Arabidopsis thaliana: one gene and its partners. The protein of the gene in region 1 interacts with the protein of each later gene in a pairwise test. Each region holds a gene or a part of one and is shown on either strand. Other genes may lie near its edges.

What was found.
Region 2: the proteins of CAK1AT (region 1) and AT4G16444 interact in a protein complementation assay, tested with the Arabidopsis thaliana proteins (one large-scale study listed by BioGRID).
Region 3: the proteins of CAK1AT (region 1) and AT2G21237 interact in a protein complementation assay, tested with the Arabidopsis thaliana proteins (one large-scale study listed by BioGRID).

What each region holds. Positions count from the first base shown.
Region 1 is NC_003075.7:14,286,336-14,291,413, forward strand, and holds CAK1AT (CDK-activating kinase 1AT), read left to right. Parts: upstream 1-2,061; 5' UTR 2,062-2,135; coding exon 2,136-2,636; intron 2,637-2,828; coding exon 2,829-3,767; 3' UTR 3,768-3,781; exon of another isoform or gene 3,782-4,103; 3' UTR 4,104-4,578; downstream 4,579-5,078. Other genes in the region: AT4G28990 (RNA-binding protein-like protein), read left to right, coding at 4,870-5,059. UniProt on the Arabidopsis thaliana protein: CDK-activating kinase that modulates CDKD-2 and CDKD-3 activities by phosphorylation of the T-loop. Activates CDKD-2 C-terminal domain (CTD) kinase activity. Activates CDKA-1 probably by phosphorylation.
Region 2 is NC_003075.7:9,273,903-9,278,211, reverse strand, and holds AT4G16444 (tail-anchored protein insertion receptor WRB-like protein), read left to right. Parts: upstream 1-1,764; 5' UTR 1,765-1,953; intron 1,954-2,113; 5' UTR 2,114-2,155; coding exon 2,156-2,266; intron 2,267-2,341; coding exon 2,342-2,421; intron 2,422-2,544; coding exon 2,545-2,615; intron 2,616-2,906; coding exon 2,907-2,977; intron 2,978-3,061; coding exon 3,062-3,143; intron 3,144-3,226; coding exon 3,227-3,276; intron 3,277-3,349; coding exon 3,350-3,421; 3' UTR 3,422-3,774; downstream 3,775-4,309.
Region 3 is NC_003071.7:9,100,001-9,103,158, reverse strand, and holds AT2G21237 (uncharacterized protein), read left to right. Parts: upstream 1-1,943; 5' UTR 1,944-1,974; coding exon 1,975-2,475; 3' UTR 2,476-2,623; downstream 2,624-3,158. Other genes in the region: BPC4 (basic pentacysteine 4), read left to right, coding at 670-738, 823-1,644.

The DNA of each region.
Region 1 (5,078 bases):
TAAGATGAGTTGCATCCACAACTATCACTTTCCGCATTGCCCTAAAACCTTCAATGCAAGCGCCTAATGCAATGAAGAGGTACTTGAACTTTTTCTCTCCTTCCAACTCCACATAAGTTACTGTCCCTGGATTTACCTTCTCTAACATGTAAAGATAAGAAAATAACATCGTGTAGCTTCTTTCCGGAGTCCCTCGCACATCACTAACATGTAGCATTTTGCCTCTTAAGGCAGTGGAGTATGAACAATGCACCCCAAGTCTTCCTCTTACAATCGACATAATGTTTTTTGGAGTTGGGGTCTCTAAATTTCCGGGATAATCACAATGTAAAACCGATGCTATTAATCTTGGTGTGCCTCGCTGTATACTGTTGCTTGTAGTCTCAACACTCCGAGAGCATGTATGCATCTTTCTATGCACTCTAACACTCCAAAAATGAGATTTTTTAGTTCTCGCAACTCTTAGATACCAAGTACACCCTTTAGAAGCTTGGCGGCATCGTAGCATAAGTCTCAACGGGTCTGACTTAATAGTATAGACTCCAAAAACTTCTTTCTTTGCAGCTCTGTTAACCAATTCCCACACAGCCTCCCTTGAACAAAATTCTTGACCAATTTCAATACCCGTACCATCATCCCATTCTATAACCTGCGGAGTAACTTCTACACTTCGTGGAATATCGTGAATATCATCATAATCAATCCTATCATCCTCATCTTGTTCCTCAACAGAATTCACCGGCCTTTCCATCGGCCTTTCGATAGCCACGATCTCCGTACCTACTACATTCTCACAATCATTCACATCATTATCATATCCATCATGCACCATCTCACATACTTCATTTAAAACATCATCCTCTATTACATTTACACCAACTGAACTTCGACGCTCCGGTACAGAAATTTCCTCTCTCCTCTCAACTCCTATACCATTTAATTCCTCCACATGCAAAACAGGAATCCGACTCTCTTCATCAGATTCTGTTAAAAATATGAAGACATCCTCATCATTTACAATATATGTCTCTCTCCTAACTTTAGACAGATTGTAACTCAGTTTCAACTTGACAGAAGCTTCATCAATCGCAACCTTCTTCATGATCTTGTCAACTAACATCGAATAGCTAATCTTCTCCAAACTACTCGTCTTAAACGATATAACATATAGTGAATTTTTACCAATCCACTCATTCACTTCAGAATAGTATCCTCCAAAGTCAAAATGTACCTTAGTGTGGATCTTCTTCTTCATCGCTCCTGAAAATACAACCAGTTCAACTCCAATCAAACATTTTAATAGTTATACCACATGTACTCTTATCATACGTTGAAATCAATCTCTCGTCGCACTCGTCTCTACTGAACCTAATTCGTTACCTTTCAATTGATTTCCAATGTTAATACATACCTATTCGTTAAACTAATTGGTTAATCTAAACTTTGCAAACACAAACCCCCCAAATCTTTAATATGAAATCTCGGAATTCAAATTCAACTCACATTCAACCTACATTCCTTTGCTCATCACCTCAAATAACGTTTCGGCAACCTCTAATCGATTACTCTTTACTTTGCAAACCAATCATCAAACTATCAAATTGAATCGAGCTGGGAATTATATAGAATTCAAAATCCCAATCTAAAATCACAATGCACCAATGTCAAAGGAAATATGAGAAGAAACTGACCTAATTCGTGGCTTTTACGCCGGATTTCAAGTCGGCGGCATGAGGAAATCGATGGTGGCCGACGAAGAAGATGAACGTCGACCAAAGAAGAAGAACACGACGACGAAGAGGAGAATCTCCGAACTCGATTTTCTTTATTTAGCTTTTGAATTTCTTTTTCATTTTTTTAATCAACTCATTAAGGGTACAACTGGTATATCACATTTTCGGTGGCATTCAGATTAACTTATGGCAGTCCAGATCAGTTTTTTCAAAAAAGTGGCATAAGTGATAAAAGTCCCCCCCTGCGGTTTGGTTTCTTGTCCGCTCCAAAACTTGTGAGGGCATTTTAGTCATTACAACATGGGAACTGGATTTTTAAACTGGTGAATTCGTTAGCGTTTATGTGAATAATCATCCATCATCAGGAAAGATCCGAAGAAAAGCGACGCCGTTTTAAAGGAGATGGATAAACAACCGGCGACCAGTTGGAGTATCCATACCCGGCCGGAGATAATCGCCAAGTACGAGATCTTCGAGCGAGTCGGATCCGGAGCTTACGCCGACGTTTACAGAGCTCGCCGTCTCTCCGACGGTCTAATCGTCGCGCTCAAGGAGATTTTCGATTACCAATCTGCGTTCCGGGAGATTGACGCGCTCACCATCCTCAATGGATCTCCTAATGTAGTTGTTATGCACGAATACTTCTGGCGTGAGGAAGAGAACGCTGTGCTTGTGCTTGAGTTTCTTAGGTCGGATCTCGCTGCGGTGATCCGAGATGGTAAGAGGAAGAAGAAGGTAGAAGGAGGGGATGGATTCTCGGTTGGGGAGATTAAGAGATGGATGATTCAGATTTTAACCGGTGTTGATGCTTGTCATCGGAATTTGATTGTACATAGAGATTTGAAGCCTGGGAATATGTTGATTTCTGATGATGGAGTTCTTAAGCTTGCTGATTTTGGTCAGGTGAGATTATGATTGTTACTGATTGTGTTAGTTATTTCATTGTTTGATGCACAAATATGAGAAACCTCTGAATGAAAAATGCTTGGTTTGCTTGAAATTTGGAAGAGTTAGTGTAATCAAGTGGCTAGACCTTATCATTTAGTGTAATCTATGAGTTTCTAAATGTGTGTTGGCTTCTTGGTTCATATACAGGCTAGGATACTCATGGAGCATGATATTGTAGCTTCAGATGAAAACCAACAAGCTTACAAACTGGAAGACAAAGATGGAGAAACCAGCGAACCACCAGAAGTTATTCCTGATTATGAGAACTCACCTAGGCAAGGGTCTGATGGTCAGGAACGGGAAGCGATGAGTAAAGACGAGTACTTCCGACAGGTGGAAGAGCTCAAGGCTAAACAGGTTGTTAGAGATGATACTGATAAGGACTCGAATGTGCATGATGGAGACATATCTTGCCTTGCAACGTGCACTGTTAGTGAAATGGATGATGATCTCGGTAGGAACTCGTTTTCTTACGATGCTGACGAAGCAGTGGATGATACACAGGGTTTGATGACATCTTGTGTGGGAACCCGATGGTTTAGGCCACCAGAACTGCTCTATGGATCTACGATGTATGGGTTAGAGGTCGATCTATGGTCGCTTGGTTGTGTGTTTGCAGAACTCTTGTCTCTTGAGCCTTTGTTCCCAGGAATTTCAGATATTGATCAGATCAGCAGAGTGACCAATGTGCTGGGAAATTTAAATGAAGAGGTCTGGCCTGGTTGTGTTGATCTTCCAGACTACAAGTCAATCTCATTTGCTAAAGTAGAATCTCCTCTTGGTATTGAAGGATGCCTTCCCAACCATTCAGGGGATGTGATATCGCTGCTCAAGAAGCTTATCTGTTATGATCCAGCTAGTAGAGCTACTACTATGGAGATGCTGAATGACAAATATTTAAGTGAAGAGCCTCTTCCAGTTCCAGTTTCAGAGCTCTATGTGCCTCCGACAATGAGTGGACCAGATGAGGATTCTCCGAGAAAGTGGAATGATTACAGAGAAATGGATTCAGATTCAGATTTTGATGGCTTTGGACCCATGAATGTAAAGCCTACCAGTAGTGGATTTACAATAGAATTCCCCTGACCTTGGCATTTAAGGTACGCAGTCAAAAGCTCTGGCTCGCTTAAACACATAAATCAGTCTCTTCTCTCTCTCTCTTTCTTCTTCAAAGAGAATGGGTATATACCAAAACCTGACATGTGTTTCTTTAGGTCTTGATTGATGCAACACTCTTTGTTGTTTGAAGATCTTGTTACAGAATACCGCTTAGAAAATTGTTAACTTTTCGTTAGGACATTGTTTAGGTATCAATGGCGGCAAAAACTTTTGAAATTCGTTTGCTCATTGATCTCACAACTTTTTTTTGCGCTTTGTTTCTCTCATCGATCTCAGTTTTATGTGTTTATCTCTCCTTGGCAGAGTCCATGGTTGAGCATCTTGATCATCCCGACTTCCCCTGAATTCGCCTACTTTGTCAAAAATGTGTTGTGTGTGTGTGTGTGTTGTTCCTCTCTCTCTGCCTCCCTCGTATGAAAATGGTAACATTTACAATTGGAAAGTCGGTGTTAGCCTTTAGCTATTAGCTGAAGAGCTAGTTTTCTTGTTGCCCAGGCCATTCTTTACCCTATTTTTCATCTGAAGTAACAATGAAACAAAATCTATATATACTCGAGTTTTGCTTTCTAGGATCTGTATTTCTTAATTGTTTCTATATTTTGATCAATTTTGAACTTTTCATATCAAGTTATCAACATGTGTAGTAGCAACCCTTCAATAATGAGACCATGGAATAAAAGCCTATCCTATATGTCATCCAGTTTTTGCTAAGATAAATTATTTTCAGTTACCCAAATTACATAATCAAAACTGATATCATAAACAACAAAAATAGCACACACAAAAATCATAACTGAATCTGATTCTTCCAGAAATGTGAACTGTTGTTTACTATAAAAAGAAGAAAACCAGAACCACAATACATTTGACTCCATGAATCAGTCATACTAGTCCAACATACTAAATATAAAACTTAAGGGGCAATATTGAAAATTAGACAAAAGTTGATAGACCAAAAGATAAATTAATAACAGTTACCAGTATCTATCGCCAAGTCTCCCCTAGGGTTTTTTTTCTCTGAAACGGACATCGAGAAATTCCAGGAGTGAGTTTTGACAATCGGAGAGAAATGGGGTCGACAGAAAAAGAGCAGACGACGCAACATCACCCGCCTCACATCAGCAGTCTCGTCGTACGTCCCTCCGGAAGCAACGACAGAGAAGACGGCCGCAACGCCGCCGGAGACTATGAGCCCGGAGAAGTCTCTCGTGACCGGCCTTCGTTTAATCGCTCGGATCGGTATAAGGGTGACAATGGTGGTTCGTATCTCTTCTAAAC
Region 2 (4,309 bases), 5.0 Mb from region 1:
CAAAAATCTTGCAAGGACATGCCTAACCATAATATATAAAAGAGTAATCTAATCAAAGATCATATTCGTATGTTGTTATATTCAAGAAAACTTGCATGAGGTTTTAAATATTCCTTGGAAAAAAAGTGAATATGAGAAAAGGGAGTGACAAAAGGGTTTAGGAGAGATTTTGGTGGCTTGGGAGATGGTGAATTGGAGCCACTTCTTTGTCTCTACGTCAAATCTTCTCAGTGGAATTTAAAGTTATATTATTGGCATTCAATTAAAAATGAAACACACATTAAAGAAGAGTGTCAAAAGTTGTTAATGGTTTCTATAAATTAGTTGATCCACTTTTAAGTTTTAACTTCTTATGATTTGGCAAGGAGGAAAAAGTATATAAAAAGTGGGCCTATCTATTGATAAAAAGACAAATGGAGTTCAATAGACTAGGGAATAATGATATCAACATATATGTATGAGATGTGTTTTGATTGATAAATAATTGTGAAAAAGACCACTCATTTTTACACAAGACATTCTCTCTCGATCTCCTCGTTTTCTCTCGATCAAAATGCTACTCTACGCTCCCTTCCCATAATGAAAACATCCATGCATGTACATTATCATATTTTTACTAATTTAGGGATCGAAAAGATTAATTTATAAAAAAGTAGAATACTATATACGTATCAATTAATATATGTGTTCAATGCAAAGCCGATGCAAACTTATATATTTCCTATCGTGATAATCTTATATAATAGATATTAGTTGTGTTTGATATATATAATAATTGCAGTACATATAATTCTTAACACCCATATAATGTAAAATTTTCTGATACAATTCTAAACCACATGTGTGCATTTTGAGTTTCACTTCATAGTCGGATTCTGCAAACTCCCCACATTAATTGGTCCACAAGGTACAAAACTTATCTCACATATATTCACCAATATATACAAATGTCAAATGCCTTTATAATGTATCACTCTTGATTGTTGATATTAGATAAGAATGTTGATATCATTACAAATGAAATGATATATTAGATTAAATTGGTAAATTTATTGTTACACCTCTAACAACGAAAAAAAGTGAGACAGTATAGCTACAAAACGGAGCGGGTTGAAAGAAAGAGGAAGTGGACAATGGGGATACAAAGTTTGAAAGGCACATCAAAAGTGGTGGGAGCAAAAGTTTGTCGTCAAGTAATTGGAATATAATGGCATGCATACACGAAAGCTGAAGATGCTACGACGTTTAGGATTTGGACTTACATTGTTTTTCTTCCTTTTTTCAGCTTCGGTATCTGCGATGTTATCGATAATGCTCTGATTTGGTGATAACCCCAATTAGATAGATGATTAACATAATTAAGTGGGATCGGATGAGACAAAACATATAGTGTCTTTAGATTAGTTGAGAAAGATTAGAGACAACGCGTGCCATTTCTGGTAAAACCATTACAACCACTCCACGTAAAAAGAATACATTATGTTTGTTAAATTTTCACATTTCTAATTTCTTACCCTCCATTTTGTAGTTTTACTACATCTCTACTATTTATATCTATTTTTATCCTATTCATTCTAAATTTGGATACTTTTACTGTTGACTGAAACTTGTAGCCTAGTTGTTGTTTCTTTTCACATGTACTCATGTATACCCAAGCTTAATGAAATTTTAAAGAAAATAAACAAGCGGTTTAGTTTTAATTTAATGGGCCGTTTCTTTATTTCAACGAAGCCCAATAGAGCCTGTTGAAAAAGGGTTTAGTTATTGTTGTTTACACATAAGGGCTTGAGTTTTATTTATTTCACGAAACGAGTAGAAACTTTTGTTTTATCAAAATCAGAACCCTCCTCTTTTACAGATTCAGGCCAATTCTAAATTCCCATCGTTCGTTCAATTTCAGACGTTAACCTCGGCTTGAAGGCTTCAAATTTCTGTGAATCCACGACGGAGATTGTAAGTTCCGATCATACTCACGACGATCTCATTCTATATGCACTAGAATCTTTTCCTCCTCCATTGATTAGATGATATGTTTATCCAGAACATGATGGATTCAATTAAGGCTTTTATTTTGTTGATCTGAATGGTACTGAGTTATGAATTGTTCGAGCAGATTGGTGAATTACGTTAGAATCAGTAATCAGCAAAAGGGTTAATGGAAGGAGAGAAGCTTATAGAAGATCGCGGCTTTTTGGCTGCTCCTCTGACCTTCGTCGTCGTCGTTGTCTTCCAATTGCTATCCAAGTGGCTTGACCAATTGAAGAAGGTAAAAAAGATAATACTTTTTGGCTTTTTTTCATATCCACATGAATCATCGTTTTGAATTATGGAATTTCTTCAGAAAGGGTCGAAGAACACGAGGGAATCAGAGCTGCGAACCGAAATTAAGCAGCTTTTGAGAGAGGCTAGTGCATTGTCTCAGTAAGCCATTTTGTTGTCACATTTTGTTTTGGTTCTAGTGATTTGAGTTAAGGAAGGTGCAGTTGTTGAAAAATATATATATGAGTGTTGTTGATTAGAGATTTATCTATTGTTTACTTGCAGGCCAGCCACATTTGCGCAAGCAGCGAAACTTAGGAGGTCAGCAGCTACTAAAGAGAAAGAACTTGCACAATGTGAGTATGCATACATTATTAGTTCTACATTGATTGCTTAGTGAGCGTAGAGTTCATGAAATTCAGAAATATGATTGATTGCTTAGTGAGTGTAGAGATCATGAAATTCAGAAATATGATTGATTGCTTTGTGAGTGTAGAGTTCATGAAATTCAGAAATATGATGCAACAGTTAGTTAGCTTTAAACATGAATACTATCTGGTAGCAGATATTCCTACTAAAGCACTGCATCATCATGGTGTAGTATTGGTGTGTGTGTGTATTTGTTAATTCTCATTTTGAAATTTTAGATCTGGAGCAGCATCACAAAGAAATCAAGCTTTCATACGATATGTATGGGAAGGGTCTGCTTGCTTCGAAGGTAGCTTAGTTTGTGTGCTCAAGCTTCTTCTTTTTTTCCGTCTAAAACTCCTTAATCGAGATGTGCTAAGAACTTTGTTTCTAGGTTGTGATATACCTAATCTTGGTATTGTGCTTCTGGAGGACTCCAATTGCCATTATCGCTAAGCAACTTGTTCAACCGTTTGGTGAGTAGTTTACTTTTACCAGGTTAAAGCTCGCTTATGGTATATAACACATAGGAAAAAAATGAATGTGGTGTGTTTCACAGGGACTTTGTTATCTTGGGGAACAGGAGGTCACATGACAGGCCATGTAATGGTAAGTTCCTTCTTCTCAATCCATTTATTTGGGCTTGTTCTTGATTGAGAGTGTTGGTTGGGTAAAAATGCAGGTCGGGATCATACCGTGGCTCATACTCTCAAACAGAGTGAGCAAATATGTGTGTAGGTTCGTGGAGTTCTAAATCGCATCCCTGAAAAGAGTGAAGATTGGATGGTTTTTGAGTTCAAAGTTGTAGCCTTTTAGGAGACACTTGTGGCAGAAATTGTGCTTCTCTTTTTGTTCCTAATCTTCCTTAACAATGTATATTTATATGACTCTTTTTCTCTGGTTGTTTGTTGGATTTTACCAATAACAAGTAGTTCGTTTTTGAGAGTTGAGCAGGTTGTTACCGTAGAAGCAGCCCCAATATTTACCCAATGTGTATATATACACCATAACAAACACATTGTCTCTATTCCTCTACGTGTTGTCAATTTTTATCTTGTAACACCGACTTTGTAAAATCAGATTCTAAAGACGCGTGTACTTATTCAACACGATGCCAATGCATGTGGTTCATTAAGATGTAGCATTATATCACCGAAAATGGAAGAGAGAAATAAAAATACTTACTATTATTAAAAGTGGGTAGCTTGGTGAAGGCACTAAAGTTTAATGGGAGAATCTTTTTAGCAATTAATTCGAGGGCATTATAATATCCACTTCCAACCACCACATTACTTAATTAAGGAAAACAATTTAAATCATAGTATCTTGTTTGGTTTGAAAGGAACGTGCACGTGTCACATCATCTACACTTGTCTTTCTAAATCAAAGAACTTGATTGGATTTGGTTAAGCCTATTAGTAAGAGTTAATAAGACAGAACCAAAGAAAAGGGTTTGGTTAGAGGGGCTAATTGGGAGATGGGAAGTGCAATAAATAAGAAGAAGGTTCATTAAATAGTTGTGTATGTGGGCATCCAAAGTCCCATCTTAATAATTTAATAATCTCCTCGGGATAGATAACAATCTTCTCTTCTTCTTCTTCTTCTTCTCTCCATTTTCCTAGAACATTAAAAGACAAATATG
Region 3 (3,158 bases), on another chromosome or scaffold:
ATATTTAAAAAGACGAGTATACCCTTGATTTCTCTTGTTTAGTAGTAGAGAAGAGGGTAATTTGGTAAATGACGAAGTAAGTACATTGAGCTTCTTCGCGGACAGAGACACTATCTCTCTCTCTCTCTACCCTTTGGATCTTTCTTCTCGATCAATTATCCATTTTGCCCAGATTTTTTCCAGAAGCTCATCGAATTCGTAAGCTTTCGCGCCTTTTCCTCTCTTTAATTTATTTGTTAATCAATTTTGAATGTGTTGTATCTCTAGGGTTTATAATTTCAGTTTCACCCTTGTTTTCTATTGTTTCGCGGAATAATCTCTTGTCATGGAAGGTTTAGATTGATTCGACCTTTTTGATCTTGACCTAATTTATTCCAATTTTCGTAAAATTGTTCCTTAAGACCTGTTTCTCTGACTAGCTCAGATTGATTTTGGTATCTGAATCAATTGCGGAACCCTAACTGGCAGATCAATTCGAGAAGTTTTGATTTTGTTTGAAGATAGTGAATTGCGAGTTCAGTGTGCTAATATCTGCTTGTAATTCTTACTCTTCAATTGTTTTCATAGATCGAATCACAATGTTTGAAATTTGGTTTCACTGTTGCTGAGTGTGTTTGGAGGAGAAGCTTGATTGGTTCGGTGTTTCACTGTTTGAAGATTATAAGAGTTATGGAGAATGGTGGTCAGTATGATAATGCGCGGTTCAAGCCCGATTACTTCAAAGGTGCACAATCTATGGTAAGACTTAAGATTTTTGGTTTCCTAAAGATATGTTTTTGTTAGTGTGATTGAAGTTATATAAGCAAAGAATGTTTGTTACAGTGGAATATGATTCCCCAGCATCAGATTAAGGAACAACATAATGCGTTGGTGATGAATAAGAAGATCATGTCCATCCTTGCTGAGAGAGACGCTGCTGTACATGAAAGAAATCAAGCTGTCTCTGCTAAAAAGGAAGCTGTCGCTGCTCGGGACGAAGCGCTTCAGCAACGTGACAAAGCTCTTTCTGAGAGAGATAAAGCTTTGATAGAGAGAGATAATGCTTATGCTGCTCTTCAACACCATGAAAATAGTCTCAACTTTGCTTTGTCTGGTGGGAAGTGTGTTGATGGAGATGATTGTTTTGGTATTGGGGAACCCCACAAACTTGAAGTCTTCCCTTTGTCAACTATTCCGCCTGAGGTTACAAACACGAAGGTGGTGAACAAAAGGAAGAAAGAGAACAAGCAGGGACTATCAAAGGTGAAAAAAGTGGGTGAAGATCTGAACCGTCGAGTTCCTGCTCCTGGAAAGAAATCTAGAACAGATTGGGACAGTCAAGATGTCGGTTTGAACTTAGTCACCTTCGATGAGACGACAATGCCTGTACCCATGTGTTCGTGCACAGGCTCTACGCGTCAGTGTTACAAATGGGGAAATGGCGGCTGGCAATCGTCTTGCTGCACAACCACCTTATCCCAGTATCCATTACCGCAGATGCCAAACAAGAGGCATTCTCGGATGGGCGGTAGGAAAATGAGCGGAAACGTTTTCTCGAGATTACTCAGCCGTTTATCAGCAGAAGGATATGATCTCTCGTGTCCTGTTGATCTTAAAGACTATTGGGCTAGGCACGGGACAAACCGCTACATCACTATCAAGTAGCCTCTGTTGTTTACACAGTCCAAGTATGTTTCTCTCGTCTTCTTAAGATTAGGTGTTGTCTTTGTCTTTATTGTCCATAGTTTGTTCTTTGTTGTGTATGGTAAAACCATTGTTATGTGTATCTTTTGGATGGGCAAAAATGGTTTGCATAAAAAATCTGTGTTTTGACCTCAAAAAATAAAATAAAATCGTAACAGTTAAAAATCAAAATCTGTTACCCCTTTGATAGCAAAATCTGTTACCCCTTTTTTCTTTCACTTGTTAGTTTCTTTTTATACCGAGAGGAGAGAACAAAAAATAAAACACAAAGTAAGCATAAACAACAACAAAATGATGGAGAAAGCCACAGTGGCGCATGTGGAGACGCATCAACGGTCACAAGAGATATGGTTTCTTGGCGCCGCAAGAGCCTTCTTGCAAATTCCGAATCCGGGGATTGTCAAAGTTTTTGTCCTAAGCAGCTTGACTACATTCACCTCAGGAATGGCTTTAGTCATTGAGTGGATCTGTCACGGAAAGAGTCACACGGGATTCGGGTGGATCATCTACTATGCATTGTTCTTGATGTGTCTTCCTCTTGTCATCTTGATCGGTCTTCATATTCTCGTCAGGCGCGGCTCAGATCAGATTGTGGATTCAACTCCAAGCAAAGAACCGTGTGTGGTGCAGAATCAGAGTACCGAGACGACTAAACGAACTGAAGAAACGGTGAAAAACAGCTGCCAAAGTTTAGCCGTTGTGGTTGCTCCGGATGACAAGAAGATGCCGAGGATAAAACGCGCAGTGTCATTCCCGTCTCACGGCGAAGTAAGATCATGTCGAACTCGTTAGCAAATTAAAACTTAGTGTGGTTCATTCAAAAAAATAACTTTGATGTGGTTAGCTATCAGATCGATTCAAGAATCTAATAATCTCTTTTGTGATATGTTTGTTATTCAGCATTTTATCTTTTCCAATAATCCAACGACCAATGATCTTCAAAAATTCGAATTACATCTTTCTTTCTTTTTTCCCCTCTTATGAGCTGAGTTCAATATATATATATATATATATATATATATATATATATATATATATATATATTGATGTACTATATATTGTTAGTTAAAAGCAAAAGATGAAAAAGTCTTACAATGGGTTTTGGTTTTTCTTTGAAATTTTGTAACAACCCAAGTAAAATACTAGATCCTCTGTTTTTTAGGGAAAGTATTTTTTGCAAAATTTTGAATTGCTATAAAGTAGAGTTTTGGAAAAACTAAAATAAAAAATCTTTACATTCAAGGTAAAAATCTCTACTTCTTTGAAATAATGCCACGTGTCAGTTCAGCGAGGAATAATATGTGTGAGTCTCATGGGTTGTTTGAGTCAATTTCGTTACCGGTTCTACAATAAGAAGTTACTTTGGCCCAAATAGAAAGAAATTTTACTTATCAAGTGGCCGAAAGGTGGCCCCAAAAAAACAAGGAAGTAAATCTACTAATGTACATTTGTCGCTACATAATTGGTCTAAGATA